Linked DNA regions of Coturnix japonica. The protein of the gene in region 1 purifies or fractionates together with the protein of each later gene. This does not show direct contact. Links are inferred from orthologs where the notes say so. Each region holds a gene or a part of one and is shown in the gene's direction. Other genes may lie near its edges. The genes, in order: MRPS27 and NOA1.

Region 1 (9,510 bases):
ATTCATGATCCCTGGGGTTCCTTCCAACCTGGGCCATTCTGCGATTCGGGCTTTTTGTGAGGTTAGCTCCAACTAAGGGGTGCTGGGATTCAGTCACTGTGAGGCTTCAAGCTGCTCCTGGACCAGCCGGTTTAGGTGGAATAAACCACATGGGATGTTATATAGGAAAAGCACTGAGGCTCTCAACAGCCTTTCTTGGTGTTCCTTCCTGAAGGGCTGCCTGGTGATAGCAGTCTCCCTTTTACTTGCACCACTACTAGGGTCTGCATTTTCCTTGGTGTACAAAGGCCAGGTCACTGATTAGCCGGCTTTACTCATGCTCTGTACTGAGAATCAGGTCTGCATAATAGTGGATAAGACAAGGAAGGAAGCATTAACATCTGAAACCCCCACCATTTTATTTTTGGGGCTGTGATTCAGCAGTTTTCTTTCTTAATCCAAGCCTGAAGAACCCAGCCTTATAGATCTATGATTTTTTCCACTTGCAAACATTAGACAAATTAAAGAACTCCTCAGACTTTTCTGGGCAATCTGCAAACATCCTTGTGCTGAAACAGGACTGCATCTGGTGTATCAGGTCATAGCACTAATAAGTATGGGCCATGTTGTACACTGTCCTGTCATACCTGCACAGTAGTGGTCACTTGAAAAAGATATAATCCTGTTTTTCCAAACTTGATTATTTTCTAAAATGTAATATTCTAGTTGAACAAATTTTGTCATCTAAACAAAAAGTTTTCTCTGTCATTACTATTTGGCAGAAAGAGTTTCTATTACTATCAGAACAATAGAAACACTGATTTAGTGTTGTCCTATACTATTTAACTGAACAAGCAACAAGTACGTGTGATTGCTTGAGAAACTCTCAAAATTAGAATTTATGTATTTCCAAGCACATAATTAGAATTTAATTGATTTTTTTATTTTTTTAATTTTTTTATTTTTGATCCTGTTTCAGTGTTGGTAGTTTATGAATTACATTTTAGTGATAAGAATGTTATTTCAAGTAAGCCTCATTTTTATTCTTTAGCATCATATGCTTGTGCCATAAAAATGAAACCACATAGGTACCAAGAGACATTATGCTTGTGGTAAGTTTCATGGATTCCAAGGTTACACAGTTATTGCTTCCAACTGATAAAGATTCACAGAAGGGTAACAGCTCTTTATATTTCTAATGGCTGAACTTTAAAATGCAGTCAGCCTGCATTCAGTAATTTAAATTATGACAATCATGTTATTCCCAGAACAGCAGCAGCATCCATATAGCAATTCCATAGTTTGTATAAATAATACATAAGGAAATAATTTAGTAAGTCCCATAGTGATACAAATGAGTTTTTTTGCTACTTCAGTTAGGAGATGGTGGTTTTCTTGATAACTCCAGGTGGAGAACATGAAAAAAAACTGGAGTCATAGCGATTAAAAGTATACCTTTAGCAGTATGTTGCATGCCACATTTCCATTTTTCCTATTAAATTATCTAGCCCGTGACAGGAATAAATCTTGTTGAATAAGTGATTTCCCTCTTACTTTCACGAAAGAGGAACCAGGATGATCTATTAAATACTGTATTGCTTGAATGTTTTGCAATAACCTCATATTTAGATGTATCTGTGATTGTGTATCACACTATCACGGGGGTTACTGTTTAACATTAGTATTTACAGCCAAGTGTCAGACCTAGAGGAGATGTTAGCCTAGTGCCTGACACATTCTCAAGTGCCAATCAGCAACTGACTCACAAGGAGTTGACAGAGACCTGCTGTTCTGCTTCAGGGACTTCAAAATGTCCCAACTTAGAAGTCCAAAATGAATTCTTCCAAGAAGGAGTGAGACTGCTTCTAGAATTTTTCATTTAGAGTAGTTATCTGGAACTACATGGCAACTTACAAAGTTGTTTGTAAAGTTGACGGTGGTATTAGTCAGATTGCAGTTTCAAACAGTTTATTCTAACAGTGACAAATGTGATTGCACAGGTTGATGTCCTGGAGACTGTTTTACGGTCTGTCCTTGAAGCAAAACCTGGTCCAGAGCCATCTGAAGAAGCCGAAGAAGTAGAGCAGAAGTCAGAATATACAGAATCGGAAGAAATGGAGCAGTCTAAAGTACCCGAGTACTACAGCCGATTCAAGGTAGGAAACTTCTGTTCATCTAAATATTCTAAGCTGTAGATCTCCTTATTACATACTAGAAGATAAGTAAATAACTTCACAAATTATGGCTATTAGACTGACACTCTTCCAGTGCACCAGGAGTCCACCTGGCATTTTTGAACCTGATGTCACCTTACATTTTCACTTACTCAAAAAGGAAGCAGCCTTCAAACAAATAAGTGCTCAAGGCCACTTGTCTTTTGTCTGTCTGCTGGGATTTTATCTTCACTTCTCATACATCAGAATGATAAATCCAAATGCTGTTTGCAAAAGTGGTATGTCATTAGAGATCCATTATCTGACTTTGAGTGGGTTCTTGCCTATTAAAATAAATTGTACTAGATATGAGACCATCCTAAACTTATTGTCCATTTATGTACATTAAGTACAAAAGTTGCATCCTGTACTTTCAGTCTGGATAATAAAGTATATCTTTCTTCCTTTTTATATTTAGCTTGATACAGTGTTAGAACAATATGAAATTCAAACATTACAGCCTAGCTATATGGTATTTTTTTATTATCATCTGGTAGCTATATAAAAAGCCCATTTTATTTTATCATCTCTGATTTCTGTTGTGGTAAAAATCAAGTACCCTGGGTTAAAACTAGTCTGGCTTATAGTTCCAGGTGTAATGCTCTCTTCTTAGACCATCAGTTTCCTCTATTGCTGTCATGACCTTGATCAGCTCTGAATACAGACAGTTGCTCTAAAGAAATTTCAGAAATTAGATGATTACCCTATGGTTTCACATTACCAACACTTGCTTTTCCCTTCTTCTGTTTATATTTATATAGACTATTTACCACAAGTCTTTGAATATTACACTTAAGCACGTAGGACTTTGTATTTGAAATGAATGAGTGGACAGCATGTGATAATTCATGCCTTGATGAATTACAGTGAGTTAGGTAAATACACATGTCCTTTGAAGGAAAGAATGAGGCATTTTTTTTGTGTCTGTCATTGTCCATCCATTGTCTACCCTTGAACAAAATTAATGATGAATGCTCAAAACAATGTCTAAATGTCAAACAGTGAGGAAGAGTGGTGCCAAGAGAATATTTTTCTCATTGCTTCAACCTTTCTTCAAGTTCCATAATTAACTCAATTTTAGGCATTCCGTGATGTAGTAGATGAGTGCCCTGATGTCAATCCAACAAACTACTTTGTTCATCCTTATCTCTAAGGTCTCTGAGAAGTGTAAATCTAAGTAAAAGCATAGCACTTACGCAAAGTATAGGTATGCAACAGTAAGTTATATATAAGAAGCTGTAATTTCCAATTGTCTTGATGAGAAAAATTAGCTTCCAAGACACAATGTCACTCTTGCTAAGTCTGGAAGAGTTATTATACTCCCCTCTCAAATCCATTCAGCCAGCAGCAGTTTTCCCAGCTGACCACCTGGGTGCTGGCACGACAGAGGTGCAAGTACCCTGAAAATACACATAGATACAAGGAAAGTTATGGCTGCTCTGTTGAAAAACTGGTGATGCTGGCATTTGTTGCCAGTGTCCTGGCACATGCTGTTTAATCCCAACACCAAATTGCACTTCTGCTGCTGAGAAGACTGTTGCACTTTGTCTAGTTATGTATTAGCAAGCATGTCTCAGTCTTTCTCCTGGTGCTCAAAATAGTTTTTGTCTCATGTTTGTCCAGTTCTTATCCAGTGGTACACCTTGACATGCAAGGAAAAACACCTGGACTTTGTCTAGTTCTTGCACCATGGTCTGCATGGTTTTCTACACTGTCTTGAACTTCATGTCTAGTACAAACTTCTGAAACAGCTGTGGCAGCCTGTCTAGGAAATCAGATATGTGAGAGGCAGAATGCCCCTCGCCCCCAGCAATCAGGACTTGAGAGCCTTTGGCTATTTCCAGATAAAGCCTTCAGAGCAGTAGTTTAGGATTTTGTGTCTGACACACTCATTCATGTTGTAATTACCTGTTCACAGATATTGTATTCTGAGGCATATTACTCAGTACAGTGTTCCTTAGGCAATTCCTTCCATCTGTGTCAGTGATCAGTGGGCAAGCATTTAATCATATAAATGCTGAGAGCACCCTCTTTAAAAGCAATGTACCTTCTCTATCTGCATCCAGAGCCCTGGAGACTGCTTATAAAAATCAATGAGTTTGCCATTTAAGAATGTACCCTTCTGGTACCTGCAGGATATAGCTACTTTCCTAAATGAGTTTCACTAATGTATTACAGCAGAGCAGAGAAGATTCCAGAGTTCTGTAGTACCAATAATGGGTTAGGAGAGGGGCCCAGCTAGTTTCCAGTCCATTGCATTTCTTCTATTTCAATTTCATACTGCTTAGTTTTAGCATACAAACTCTTTTTAGCACATCCTTAGTAGTGGGTAGTAGGGAGACTCTGTATCAGTTATCAGGAATTGTGTTCCTTTCCCAAACTCAAACCATGCTGTTTTCGTATTTATTCTGGATGTACGGTAAATTCACTCATATCTCAAACAGAAGAGAAATAAATAAACAGATGTTACTAATTTTGGTTTTAATTTGGTAATGTCAGGTTGTTTTTGTTTATAAACTTTGTCATAAAATTAAAGGCAACAGAGCCAAATTCCCAAGCACCTCAGACCTGCACACATACTGTTAAAAGAGCTTTTTATCTGCTGTTGGTCATGTTCAAACTTTCCTGGGCCTGACAGAACAGCAAACCTGTTGTAGTTATGTTGGCTGAGGCAGGGAGAGGTAAAAAGGTATCCGAAGAGGCACTCCAATTTCCCTTTTCAAAAGAAGGCATAACCTTGAGGCTAGAGTTGAGCTGCAGCGCTTCTGCAGATTAATGCAGTGAGTCTGGGTAAGAGCAGCGCTGTGGGCCAGCTGCATAGTGATAGTGTGCAAGCTCCCAGTGATAACTGGGAGTGGAAAACTGAATGTCATCATGCCCTCGGAGTCACCATTTTGTGTGATGATTAATTATCCCATCTTCTTTCAGTTATCTTTCAGTGCAAATCAGTGGGGTTTATTCAAAGAACACATGAAAGAAGTACGTGGGTGTACCTACCTTTAGGGTACCTTCTTTCTTTAAACATTTCAGCAAGTGCCTGTTTCAGTAAAACATTTTATTTAAAAGAACAATCAGGAAAACATGTTCCTATCTAATGAATGAGCAAGGGTTAAGGAATGTGCCAGTGCCATGTTGTCTTCCTCCCCCAGGAAACTCTTTCCTGGCTGTCTGTGTAGCTGCACTTTTAAGGCAATTAATCAGCTTGTTAGAGAGCCATTGGGCCAAATATTCCATAAAGCCAGAAGCAGTATCACTCGATGACTCATTGTCTTAAGTGAATTAATATGTTTATGCTGCATGAGCTCTAAGTAAGTAAAGCACAGAAAGAAGTATTGCAGTTTCTTTGTGAAGCTATATTTTTTTGTTACATTGTAAAATATACCTGAATAAATATTACTTGCTTTAGGTCTATTGCATTTAGTGTGAGTAAACACAGTCAAACCTCAGATCACAGTAACTGTTGGCAAAAAAAAGATGGAAGCTACTTAGCATGCTACTAGTCAGCAAGCATTTAAAGTGATTTGCATCTGTGGAGAGTGATGCTAATGCAGGCAGTGGGGAGCACATCAGTCAGTCAGCTTTGAGTTAAGACACAAAAAAAGGTGCTTAAATTGTCTTTTCACAATTGACCGGTCAGCTGATCTTTGTTTACAGCAGGTGACTACACTTGGAAAAATAAGGAGAATTTCAGTAAGTTAGGGCTCTTTCTTGTTTCAGTTTTATTGCTCAGAAAAACTTTCTCTGGAGGTTAGCATTTCAAGGGGAAGCAGTAATACCTGCTATCACAGTCAAAATCCTTAGCTAGGACAGAATGGCCAGCCTGGATCAACACAGCTAGTCATTAGATTCAATCATCTATGAATTGGTTGTTACAGGGAAGTAAGCTTTGTCACTGATTATTTTGTGACTGATTGTCTCTCTCCTTCTCTGTCCCCATCAAATCCTTCATTCTGTGGCAGGATCTGTACTCTAAGCTGCATTCACTTGGCAAGGTTGAATCTGAAAGCCTGTTAACCCTGACCACCCAGCTCGTCAAGGAAAAGCTGCCAGCGTGTGAAGTGGAGGACATCGCAAAGTATGAGCAGAAGCTAAAGGAGTGGGAGCAAGAACAAGCACTTCTCATTGAGAGAGAAAGAGAAATGAGAGAAAAAGCTAAGCAGGAACTGGAAGCTAGGAAGCTAGCTAAGGCATCTGCTTAATACTGGAATTCAGTCTGCCATAATGGTATGCATTCCTCTGTGTGTGAACTGTTCACTATTAATATTTCACTTAATTACTGCTGCAAATATGACTGTATGTGACTACTACATGCAAATAAATCTATTTCCATTTTCCTGCTTCCTGAAGCAAAAGCACTTGTGGTTTAGAAATTATCGTGTTTATGATATATTTTCCTCTGGTTGGCAGCCAGATGGGGGGGGTGGTATGGAGATAATACAAAGAAACAAAGGCATTGCCTGTGGTGAAAGTTGTAGAGGGTGGAAGAAACAAAAGAAGAGGGAGAAATTTCATACACAAGTCGTTTCAGTGTGAGTTTCTCACAGAAAAGAATGCCTGGGTCACTCTGAACTTAGCCACTAAGAGGATTAACGTATGTTGACTGCTTTCTTTTCCTGCCCACTTGGAAAATTTGGGCTAGTCTACACAGAACTGTAAGCCTACTTTAGACTGTTTTTGAACCAGGGAGTTAGCACTTGCAAAGGCACTTAGATGTGCCTATGAAAATGCTTCCCTGTAAGAAACTGAGAAATTTCCAAATTCACTAACTGCTCCACTTTTCAGGTCAATAGAGAAATAGGCACAATCACCTCAGCAAAGGGGCCTCGTTCTGCACTGCATTTCCTTTTATATTCTGGGCACTGTTTCATGGTTCTATTTTGACCTAATCCCATTTTTGCCTTAGCTGCATACATAATCCCATAGCCTATTATATGGATTGTGAAAATGATTTAGCTATTCATACAGAGCAAAAGAAAATGTCAAGAGAGAGAAGGTGGGTTCTTACATTCCCTGTTGCCACAGAAGCTGATCAAGAGACAATTTTCTGCAGCTTCTTGCAGGGCAAGCTCCTTAAACAGAGGGAGACCCTGACAACAGCCTTTCTGTATGGCACCTTGTTGTGTTAACAGTGATGCCTCAGTATGCTCTTCCACAGTATCTGGGAAGTATTTCCAGTTTTATCATGCACCTGTCTAGCCTTAAAGCTCTAAATCTCACATCACACACTGACTAAATCCTTTGAGAATAGAACATGCTGCAGTTCTCTGAACTTATTTGTAGTTAGGCATCTTACTGGCATTCACCAAATGCTTTGCCTGTTCCCTGTGAGTACACTCACAACTTGATTGCTTTCACATCTAAGAACATGACAGTAGGGTCCTTTGCCCTTTAGGTCAGCAATTCTGTGGTCTCTCCTGTAGTGCTCTCCAGGTGAAAGGTTATTTTTGTGTTTGGGCATGACTAATACAGCGGTAGCCTTTACAGGCAATTTTTATCAATTCTTCTGAAGCTTTTTTTTTTTCCTCTTAGGTCCTCCTGATGCTTTCTAGCCTTAAGGAAGAGTGGGAGGCCAAACACACTTCTAAGAACAATTTGGTTAAAACTGGTGGCTACTGAAGTGTCCTTCCTGTGCCTGTGTTCAGTTTTTCAGCACGGGAACATGGGTTGTACTTCCAAAGGTTCACAATTGATCTTGTACCATCCAGTTTTGTTCTTGACTTCTTGATACAAGAGCCAACTCTTCCTCCACTACATTTTTAAGGCATGGAGGGTCTGCTGTGTGGCCCCAGCCATCCCAGCTGTTGTTCCCATGCCTATGAGATACTATCTGGGTAGGCCACAGTGGACACTGCCATGCTTCTAGCCGCTTGCTGGCATCTCTTCCTTGGCAGCATGCAGAGCCTGTTTCTGGCCCCATCTCTGTGCTCCTCCCCTGCTGGGTGGACATGCCAGGCTGCTAATGCTCATCAGGCTCCAGCAGGCAGCCAGCTGCCACATCCCTGCTATCTCACAGAGCATGCATCACTTCCCACACAGCTAAGCCCCCTTACCATTTATTTAGATTTAACTGCTATAGCAACAGAAAAAAATCTTCCTCTAAGCACTGACCAACCTGTTAATATTGCAGGCTCCCTCCTTTCATTTTCACTTGTAAGCACTGGGTTTGAATGCTTTTGGCCCAGACTGTAGCCAGAACTCTTGACTAGATACAGCCTTTTATCCAGGCGTGAGCTTTAAATAAACTGTGGAGAACAAGTGTTGTGTGATGTTGTCCTCCAGGGGAGATTTTCCTTACCATGGATAAAACATACTCTGCATTGGACTCAAATCTGTTCCCACCTGCCCCCGGGAGAACAGAGAAGAGAGTTTCCTTACAAAGTGCTTTGCAGGCATCAGAGTAGACTGTGCCAGGCAAGAGGCACCAAACCCGGTACTCGTGGCAATGGGTTTCAATCAGTTGTAGCTTAGGGAGCAAGAAATTCAGGCAAGTCTTGTCATGTATTTCCACTCAGCATCACCCTGAGCAAGAAACCTCTTCTGATGCTTCCACCAGCCCCTCACCCAGACTCCTGTTCCCTATCTGGCATGACACTGGTATGTATTTCTTCACAGTGCATTGGTCTTCCATCTTCTCTGCTCCCCCTCCACAAGTCTTACCACTATCTCAGTAGCAAAAAGTTTCTTCCATACTAGTGTCTTCTCGATGACCTAATTTCCCACAGACCTTCCTGTACATTCCTAAATTTGCCAGCAGGCCCTCTTGTCCACTTTCTCTGCTGCACAGCCTCCCCTCTAATCTCCCTATTGATCCTCCTGTACATCCAGCCCCATCCATTTCCTTCCTGCTTGCCCTGTCTCCACACCCTGGCTGTCTCAGGCAGTTGGGCACCCACTGGACCCTCAGAGCTTCAGGCACTGCTCACAATGAGGAGGTTGGGAGCCCCCGTTTACAGGTGCAGTGCACACATACCTGCCCTATGCCTTTAATGGTATTCGCAGTCCCTCCTCTAAATGTAACATGGTGGCCTTTGATGAGTATTTCCTAAAGATATCATACCAGCGGGGCTTAGTAAAAATTGCTTGATTAATAAGCAATTTTGAATTGAATTTCCCATCTTCAAACAGCACTTCATGTGCTGCTTTGTCAGCTCTTGATTATAGTGTTTGTTTGTTTGTTGCTTAACCCAGTTACTATTCTGCATTTGCAAACAAAAAGAACCAGAGTTCCTCTAGTTCTGCACCCTGGTGCATGTTAGATGCAAGCTTACAGCCCAGTAAACCCTCCTCACAAGGCCACTCTCGGGCTTTCTGCAGTGTG
Region 2 (9,611 bases), on another chromosome or scaffold:
GCAGTACTGAAAATGTTTGTCTTCCTGGCAAAAGAATTGGAAATAAGTAACAGGATTTCCAGTGCCTGTAAAGACAACTATGTGAAGCATAGTTACCTTTTCTGATCCATTAATGATAAAATAGCCACCCGGATCCAGAGGGCATTCGTTCAGTTCACAAAGATCACGGTCAGTTAAGCCATTTAACAAACAGTACGTTGATCGTAACATTATAGGAATTTTTCCTATAAAAGTTTTCTGATGTTGTGTCTGTAGCTGATCTTCCCCTTCTTTAATAACTGTTTTAGTTATATCCACGTACAAGGGGGCTGAATACCTACAGAAGAAACAAAAAAGACAAATATTGATCATTATTATCAAATCATTGGGATTTAACAATTAGAAATAGTAATAAGAGCAGTAATGATTACATTGTCAAAATGACTAAATAACAAAAAGACTAGCAGTTAATAACATAGAGCCAGTCCTTCCTCGTGTTTTAACCATCGCAGAGATGTTTCTTACGTCAGGTTTCTCAGCCTGGCCTCATTGGGCATCATAGGTGACGGTGCTCCATCTCTTTCCCAATGCGTAGGTTTGGAGAGATAGATTTGTTCAAACTTCAGGAGATACCGGGGCTGGAAAACAAGCAGACATTTATCTGCAATGGCCAAACCATCTATCTTAGTTATTCAAGTGCAGCCCTTGAGCTTAATACCCAACGCTGCTGCATGTCCTCACACTCAGGGTGTAGAAACAATCCCTATTCTGTTGGCTAGCTGAGCACATCATAGAATCAATCCTCAGAGTTGGAAAGGACATTTAAAGGCCATCTAGTCCAACTCTCCTGCAATGGGCAGGGACAGCACAGCTATATCAAGCTGCCCAGGGCCTGATACAATCTCGCCTTGAAAATCTCGGCCACATCTCTGGGCAACCTGTTCCAGTGCCAAACATTCAAGAACCTTCAATAACTTCTAGACACCTCATTAAAGGAAAAAGAAACACACAGAGGTAACTGAAAAGTCAAAACCATTGGTAAGAGTTAAGGTACCCATAATAGGGTATAAGGTACCCAAATAACGTTGTCTTCCTGTAAAACAGCTAATTAACTCACAGAATCACAGAATGACCCGGGTTGGAAGGGACCTCAAGGATCATGTAGTTCCAACCCCCCTGCCTGGCAGGGCCACCAAACATACACCTTTACTAGATCAGGTTGCCCAGGGCCCCGTCCAACCTGGTCTTGAACACCTCCAAGGACGGGGCATCCACAACCTCCCTGGGCAGCCTGTTCCAGGGCCTAACCACTCTCCTAGTGAAGAACTTCCCCCTAACATCCAACCTAAATCTTCCCTCTTTTAACTTAAAACCATTTCCCCACGTCCTGCTATTGTCAGCCCTTTCAAAGAGTTTACTCCCCTCCTGGGAGTAAGTTCCCTTCAGGTATTGAAAGGCTGCAATGAGGTCAAAATCTATGAAGTCAGTCAACTCAGAATCTACTAAGTCAGAGTGAGTACATTAATAAACAGCATTTGCCCAGTATATATATATTTATTGCTGACATAGCTTTAGATAAAACTGATTGAGCATAAGATAAAGAGGCAAATTTACTCCAACACAAACAATGAGACAACTGACACCTTAAAAAGGTGCGAGTCCGTATTCCCACTGCAATGAGAGTTTAGAGCTGCTGTCCCCAAAGCATTCCTTCACCAACTAAAATCCAAGGGTATAGAAACATAAGCCAGTCACTCGACCGGCACATGAACAAGTTGAAAGACCCACTGCCTTGAAAGCCTTTCTTTTGAGTTCCTGTTTCACACTGTGACTGCTTGCAGAACAGAAACTAACCCAAACAAAGAACAGTAGTGCTGCCACCCCACCATCTAGAAGCCAGCTGTGAATATCTATAACTAAAGCAAAACTTGAGCTCCATGCAGTTATCTAACTGTATCCGAGCCATTAGGACTACTGTAGTACAACACCAAAGCTCTAGCACAGCTAGCTCTCAATTCTCACCCAAAGAAACACCTTTCTCCTTCATTTGCAGCAGTAGCTGCGTGAAATAACTTTCACAGGTTCTCATGTAAGCACGTAGAACACACATTTACTGTAATTCCCATCTCTCAGCACGGCTGTAAAAACACTTTAGTGTGCTATAAAACATACTGTCCTAGCTGCCCTCAAAATGCAAAGCTGAACATGGAAGGAGGGAGAAACAAGTCACCTCGGATTAGTCCAATCATACTCAGCCTCCTTAATTAAATCCTGCATTCTCCCATTAGACAAGAGATTGCCAACAAGTAAAACTGAAGGAAAAACCAAGTTTTCTTTTTCTCATATCTAGGCCATACTCTTAAAACTTCAATTGGATAAATAAGAGCAAGAAACCTACCCTCAAGTCAAATACTATGTCTTGGGCAAAGTTAAACACATATATGCTGGAGATCCACACTTAACTGCATACAGCTCATACAGCATCTGCAGAACTGCACAGCTAGGGAATATAGATATAATATACACAGAGCAACAGAGGAAATATTAAGAGGAATTACAAACATTTATGAGTGTTCATCTACCCAAGAATGAGCCCTATGACAAACTCAGGAACTAAAAGAAATCTGTTACTCTCTCTAAACAATGCATGCACGCACAAAAAATGGAAAGGAACAGTCAAAACATAACAGATTTGACTCTCAGAATTCCTAAAGTTCCCTTAAAGCTCAAAAGGGAAGCAGAAACTTGAGTAACTGGATCATCGCTGTTGACATACACAGGACCGCACCATATGGGAGACACCACAGTGAACAGCAGAAGCACCACAACCAATGCAGAACATGTACTGTACCCTCACACACTTCATAAGTCCTCACAAAGACCTTAGATAATGTGGAACATGGTACCAATGGAAGATGATAAGTAAGGGCACTACTAGAAAACCCAGACCTAACAAAAGCCTTTTTAGTCTTAAGCCTTTTCTGCCATAGTAAAGCTACCAAGAACCAAAAATCCCAGCAAAGCACGGTTTTATTATGGCTAGCTTGCTTGCTCCACTAAATCCCTGTCGATGAGGCCTGCTCCCATCCTCAGCAGTTGCACAGTTGCCTTATAGAATCCAAGCAGTTTACACTTCCATCCTCCCGGCTGTGTCCCAACTCAGATGTACTTCAGTCTCTCCAGACACAGACCGAATGAAACCCACCTACTCAAGGTACCACCTACTCATTTTGCTTATGAAACCCCTTTGCCTCCACTTACCGGTTCTTCCACTTCTCCTGTGGCATGCTGGGCTTCTGCCTGTAAATCAATCGGTGGAGCATCTTCAACAATTCTCTGCACAGACATCTGAATAAACTCATCAAAAGAATCCAGCTGTTGCCTGACTAAACCTTTTTCATCAAAATAGGAGCTAAAGGAAAAACAAAACAAAACACATTAACAAGATAACTTAATTTAAGTGATGTATTTTGTCAGCAAGCTTAAGGTAAATTCATTACAAAATCTTGAAAAGCTCTGAAATACAGTAGAAAATACTTTTTGCCTGAGACACGGGTTGTGTACACAGATGCTCAGAAATGTTAAACTCAACTCTCATCGGTGTTTGAAGGCAGACTGCAAAGTGACAGACCTGCTGCCACCTCCTGGCTGAGCCGTGTACGCACTCTATCTTAAATTCCTCTAGCTTTTGTGTGGCCCAGACATAACCCAACACCACAACCCAGTCATGAAACCAAAGCCAACATTCCAAGCCCTGCACTCTCATTGTTAACAGGATGACCTGAAGACATGGGCTGTGTGCCACACAGCCCTGAAGGCACCTGGAGATCTCACGCTACCTTGGCTTTGCTGTTCTCTATCCCCACTGCACATAGGGAAAGGCTCCTGTTCAAAAGAAAAACACTTTTTGCTTACAATGTGCGCTTCTTAACAGCATGAGGAGCCACAGGGCCTGGCTGTTGGTGTTCTGCTGGGAAAACTAGTCCAACCTCCTACCCATCCCCACCAATCGTGTCCCTCAGCACCACATCTCCAGTGACTGACTACACCACCTCCCTGAGCAGCCTGTGCCAGTGCAGTAGAAACACATAAACGTTTGAGTTGGAAGGGACCCTTAAAGGTCAGACAGTCCAACTCTCCTAAAAGAAACAAGGACACCTATGGTGCTCAGAGCCCCTTGAATGACTTCAGGGACAGGACTTCCACCACTTCCCTAGGCAACTTGTTTTGGTGCCTCATCGCTCTTACTGTAATAGTACTTATGTACAGCTGGCTTTCTCGGCTGCCAAGGCACACTGCTGTCTCAAGTCCATCTTGCCATCCACCTGCTCCCAGCTGGTACTGGTAGCGGGTGTTGCCACAACCCAGGTGCAAGACCTTGTACCTTGTTTTTGCTGGACCTCACGAGGTTCATCAACCAGCTGCCCTATGTCTGTAAGCCCTGCCAAACCAAACAAGGGCCCCACAGCCCAGCTGAGCGCAGCTCCGCTCCCTAAAAGCCGAACCACGCGGCCCGGCCTAGTCGCAAAGCCCGAGGCCTCCGTGCACCCGTCCCACCAGCAGCAGCACAACGAGAGCATCACCTGATGACGATCCAGCACGCCTCCTGCCACAGGTCGGGGGTGATCTCGTCGTCGTCCTCATCATATTGCATATCTACAGGGGAAGAGGGAGCGGGTCAGGCCAAGGCCGCCACTACGGGGCCGCCCATAGAAGCGGGGGAGCGGCCCGGCGGGAGGCGGCCGGCGCGGCCTCACTCACCTTCATCCGCGTCGTACATGGCGGCAGCGAGGAGGGAGCCGCGACCGGCCGGGACGGGAGAGAAAGAAGCCGAGAATCCGGCACCGAGCGCCCGCCGAGCGGCGGCCACAGGAAGGAGGGCGGCGGGAACGGGGAGCAGCGCACATGCGCGGGGTGAGCCTCGCCCTGCCCCTTCCTGCGGGCTGCTCACGCTGCCCGTCATGCTGCAGCTGGGCCGGGCGCTGCTGGGCCGGCTGCGGCCAGCACGGCCATGGGCGGCGAGGCGATGGAAGGCGTTGGGCGGCGAGGAGGAGCGCTTCGTATTCCTCGAGTATGAGCCGGAGCCAGAGCCACCATCACCACCAACACCACTGCCACCACCACCGGCACCACCCGCCGCTTCGCCGACGGGCAGAGCTGCCGCGCGGAGGCGGGCGGGCAGGGAGCGGCTGCTGGGGGAGGCCGACCCGTCCGTGCCGCCGAGCGGAGTGGGCTGCTCGGGCTGCGGGGCCGAGCTGCAGTGCCGCGATACCGCGGCGCCGGGCTTCGTGCCGGCCGACAAGTACCGCAGCCTGTGCTCGGGGCCGGGCGGAGCGGCCGGGCTGCGCGATGCCGTGTGCCAGCGGTGCTGGGTGATGGCGCACGGCGGCCGCTTAGTGCGGCTGGAGCTGCCGGCCGAGCAGCACCGCGCCGTGCTGAGCGACGCGCTCCGCAGCCCGCCGCGGCACGGCAGGGGCCCGCTGCTGCTCTACACGCTGGATGTGTTGGAGCTGCCCGACCCCGTGTTACCGCAGCTGCCCGCGCTGCTCAGCCCCGACGTGCCCGCAGCGGGGCTGCTGGTGGTGGGCAACAAGGTGGATCTGCTGCCGGCCGACTCCCCCGGGCACCTGGGGCGGCTGCGGCAGAGAGTGACGGCCGCCTGTCTGCAGGCCGGCATCGCCCGGGAGCAATTAGTGGATGTACGGCTGGTGAGTGCCAAAACGGGCTTCGGGATGGAGGGGCTGGTCAGCCGGCTGCAGCGCTCCTGGAAGTGCGCCGGTGATGTCTACCTGCTGGGGGCCACCAACTCGGGCAAGTCGACGCTCTTCAATGCCCTGCTGCAATCCGACTACTGCAAGTCACGAGCTCCCGACGTGGTTAGTAGGGCCACCGTCTCATCCTGGCCAGGTGAGGGGCACTACCAGCATCCCCATATCGCACTCGGGTGCTAAGGTCACAAGGCTTTGCTGCTAAAGTGTCTGATCGACCTCCCTAAAATCAGCTCAGATGACCCACGACTGTACCAGCATCAGCATGATTTTAATTAGTGAGAGTGTCTGAGAAGCCTTTCAACAAGAGAGCAGGTACCAAGTGGATGGTAACACACTCCAGCCACTCTGCCTAGGAGGGAGACTTAAGCAGAGCAGGTGTTGATGCTTAGTTCCACCTCCAGCTTTGTTAGATGGCTCCAAGTACTTTTTTATTCATGTACCTCAGAGCTTAAGTATGAGTCTGGATATCCAGGTATCCCAGAGGTCTGGATGTGTCACCCTTTTTGCTTTCTCCTCCTTCTTCTTCCAGGAACAACACTGAACTTGTTGAAATTTCCAATTATCAACCCTACGTGCGACAGGATATTCAGGAGGCAGGAGAGGCTGAAAGAAGAGGCACAAAAAACAGAAGATCAGCTAAGCGATGAGGAAAAAAAGCACCTGAATCGCCTTAAAAAGCAAGGTTACTTAGTGGGTGAGTATTGTCTGTGTAAAACGTGATGGAACGTCCCAATGGAAATGCTGCATTACACAAAGGATTGTTAACCTCTTAATTTTCTGATGAATACATCTGGTTTTGGCAGGCAATTTCTACCCATTCTGTAAGAACTCAGTAAGAAATATGCTGTCTGTATATGGTCCTTGCTGAGGTTTTGGGGCTTAAGGAGTGCTAAGCAGGAATTACAGAAGGGATCTGTTGGCATCTTGGCTTTTAAACATGCACGTGACATTTTTATCACATTTCTATCATAGTTGTGCATCCCTATTAATCAAGGGAAGGGAGAGGTGTCCAACTGGAGGAAATGCAGGTTAATAAATGAATGAACAGGAAACCTTTCATTTCAATCCAGGAAGAGTTGGAAGAACATTTAAACGTCGGGAGAGCTCTGTGATTGATTTTGACCCTGACATGCTGTCGTACAGCATAGATGAAGATCCATGCCATATCCCTAAGAAGAATGAGGAAAGACAAGAGTTCACATACAATGAAGTGAAGGATGCTCGCTGGTGTTTTGATACTCCAGGGATTGTAAAGGAAAACTGTGTAGGTACTCTGTGGCATTGTGCTTCAGGAGGTCAAAGTCCATCGTGTTTCTGCTGTTGTGTTTCTGAATGGTGCATGCTGTGATCTTTGTGAAGGAACTGTGTGTCAACCCACTTTCTAATGAAGTACAATACTGTTAAAACAATTTCATATCAGTATCACCCAGAGAAATCTATGCTTCTTTAACTCTGCCACCCTACTGAAAAAGGTGGAGCTTAGGAGGATAAACTAGTATTGTGTGACCAAACCAAAGCTTTGGGAAAGACCCGAAGCATTCTCATGAAGCCAGAAGGATCTGCAGTGTTAATAGCTAATAACAGTTAACAGCCTACTTCAGTGTTTCAGTAGAGCAATGATGCTGAAGCCGGTGCTTATATAGTGCATATGTCCTAAAATGTCATATTGTGGGTTTTTTCCATCACACTGATATCTTTGTGGAGCCACAGGTCATCTTTTGGGAGAAATTAAAAGGTACTAGGAGATAGAAAACCAGCAGTGGTGTCAGAACTTTCCTAGTAGATGCCTGCCAGATCATCTCCAACCCACTTTGTGTTAGTTTGCCCTCTAATAACTACTTAGTGTCTGATGTGAAGGTAGCCAGGGGCTTAGAGCTCTTACTGGAGACAGAGCGTGATCTTCCTTCTTCTGAAGTTGAATAATCACAGAAAACAGTGTGTCCTGACTGCACAATTTATGTTTCAGGTTTTGAATCTCCTGACAGAGAAAGAAGTAAAGCAGGTTTTGCCAACACAAGCCATCATTCCACGGACCTTCATTCTCAAGCCAGGAATGGTCTTGTTTTTAGCAGCTTTAGGACGCGTAGACTACTTACAGGTAGGAAAAAACAGGATTGCAGCAGCTTCATCTTCTGGTATAGGACCAAACAATAAAAGATAGTCCAGGTAGCTTCTCCACCTCCTTTCACTGCAGCTTTCAAGATAAGTTTGTTAATAAAGCACCACATAAAGTAAAAATGCCTTGGGATGGAGAGTGGTGATACTTGTTATCAGTGTGCAGTATTTTGTATTATAAAACCATCAGTGCTATTAAATGCCAATAAACACCTTCGCCTTGAAGGGCTTCCCATGACATGCAGAGGCAAGGACGCCAGTAAAAGACAAGATTTCAACATACAGCAAGGAAATGAAGCAAGAGAGAGCAGTTAGGGGTTACTTTTCTGTTAGCATGAACAACACATGCTTTGTTTTGTTTCAGGGAGAAAAACCTGCCTGGTTTTCTGTTGTGGCTTCTAGGATGTTGCCAGTCCACGTTGCTACCTTGAGCAGTGCAGATGCCATGTATGAGAAGCATGCTGGGCAGGAGTTCTTTAAGGTAAGAGAAGTATGTGCAAGCTGTCCTTGTCTTGGCTGCAGCCTTGCACACATTGAGCATACATACAAGTGCTGTAACCCACAGTAAGGAGGCTGGCTTGGGCCAACAGCTGGCCTATGTAGCAGATGCTCCATCTTTGCTCACTCCTGAGCTGTGGGCTTCATTGGGCTGGGTTGTTCTGGATGTGATCCCAGTTCTGCTCTTTGCAAGTCCGAAGTAGCTTCTGTAAGGATATTCAAACTAGCTCTTACTTAGATAATAGAAGTTTAATTTCTCTGTTCCTGCTTGTGCATTGCTCTTCAGTTTAACGTAAGAGTACTGAAGCATCTCTTAGCTGTTAAATCTTTTATTGTTTTGACATTAGGTTCCAATGGGTGGGAAAGAGCGAATGAAAGAGTTCCCCCCACTTGTCCCTCAGGACATTACACTGAAAGGAACTGGTACTGCTGAGGCAGTCGCAGATATCAAACTTTCCTCTGCAGGTAATTTAATGTTTCTTTGTGTGAGAACCCTTGTTTTCATATGAGCAACTCTTCCTACTGACTGTTTCTTTCTTTGCTCTGCAGGCTGGGTGGCGGTGACAGCTCATGCAGAAGAGGAACTGTTGCTCCGAGCCTATACACCCAGGGGCACCACAGTGGTGGTACGGGAGCCTCCCCTTTTACCATATATCAGTAGCATCAGAGGGGCCCGGATCCCAGGTACTGCTGCCTACAGAACCAAAAAGCCTCCTTCCCTCGTAGAAAACCTGAAAGCTGTGCGGAACAGATAGCACTCACCATCGTCTGAGTGAGATAGGATTCAGAACTTCAGAACAGATTCTTCTGTTGACGTTCAGAAGAGCTTAGACTCATCTAAAAGGCAGACAGGCACGGTTTCAAGGGAGGTCCATGTGAGGTAAATCTGATGTAGGGCACCACAAGTCTAACACAACTACTGAGCTGCAGCTAGTTCAGGTGAGCTGGATGGCTCGTACCTTGTTCTCTGAGGTGAAATGTTTTTTTTCCCTGGGATCAGGCAGTGTCAGGGAGCAACCCTCATTATCATTTTCCTCTTGAAATACAGCATGGAAGCTCATCTGCCTGCCCTTTGCTGACTTTGCTGCTCAGAGAGTAGGTATTTTCTAGCAGACGTGCTCTCACAGGTCAGAAACCATCACCTGGTTCTTGGAGCCTTTATGTTGTTTCTAAAGCAGGAGGTGGAGGGTGGGGAAGAGGAGCAGGGAATTCTCTGGTGTGGGCATGACACTCCCAGGAGCTTGTGGT

What was found.
Region 2: the proteins of MRPS27 (region 1) and NOA1 purify together in Homo sapiens (co-immunoprecipitation; 3 studies listed by BioGRID and IntAct, counting the BioPlex papers as one, with this or other methods). This does not show direct contact. The link is inferred for Coturnix japonica from reciprocal best matches to the Homo sapiens genes MRPS27 and NOA1.

What each region holds. Positions count from the first base shown.
Region 1 is NC_029547.1:23,078,158-23,087,667, forward strand, and holds the end of MRPS27 (28S ribosomal protein S27, mitochondrial), read left to right. Parts: intron 1-1,979; coding exon 1,980-2,135; intron 2,136-6,151; coding exon 6,152-6,391; 3' UTR 6,392-6,416; exon of another isoform or gene 6,417-6,547; intron 6,548-7,721; 3' UTR 7,722-8,447; downstream 8,448-9,510. UniProt on the Homo sapiens protein: RNA-binding component of the mitochondrial small ribosomal subunit (mt-SSU) that plays a role in mitochondrial protein synthesis. Stimulates mitochondrial mRNA translation of subunit components of the mitochondrial electron transport chain.
Region 2 is NC_029519.1:43,874,946-43,884,556, forward strand, and holds NOA1 (nitric oxide-associated protein 1), read left to right. Parts: upstream 1-4,757; coding exon 4,758-5,886; intron 5,887-6,279; coding exon 6,280-6,444; intron 6,445-6,820; coding exon 6,821-7,014; intron 7,015-7,716; coding exon 7,717-7,848; intron 7,849-8,229; coding exon 8,230-8,346; intron 8,347-8,710; coding exon 8,711-8,828; intron 8,829-8,912; coding exon 8,913-9,118; downstream 9,119-9,611. Other genes in the region: POLR2B (DNA-directed RNA polymerase II subunit RPB2), read right to left, coding at 97-316, 505-617, 3,241-3,391, 4,563-4,635, 4,741-4,759. UniProt on the Homo sapiens protein: Involved in regulation of mitochondrial protein translation and respiration. Plays a role in mitochondria-mediated cell death. May act as a scaffolding protein or stabilizer of respiratory chain supercomplexes. Binds GTP.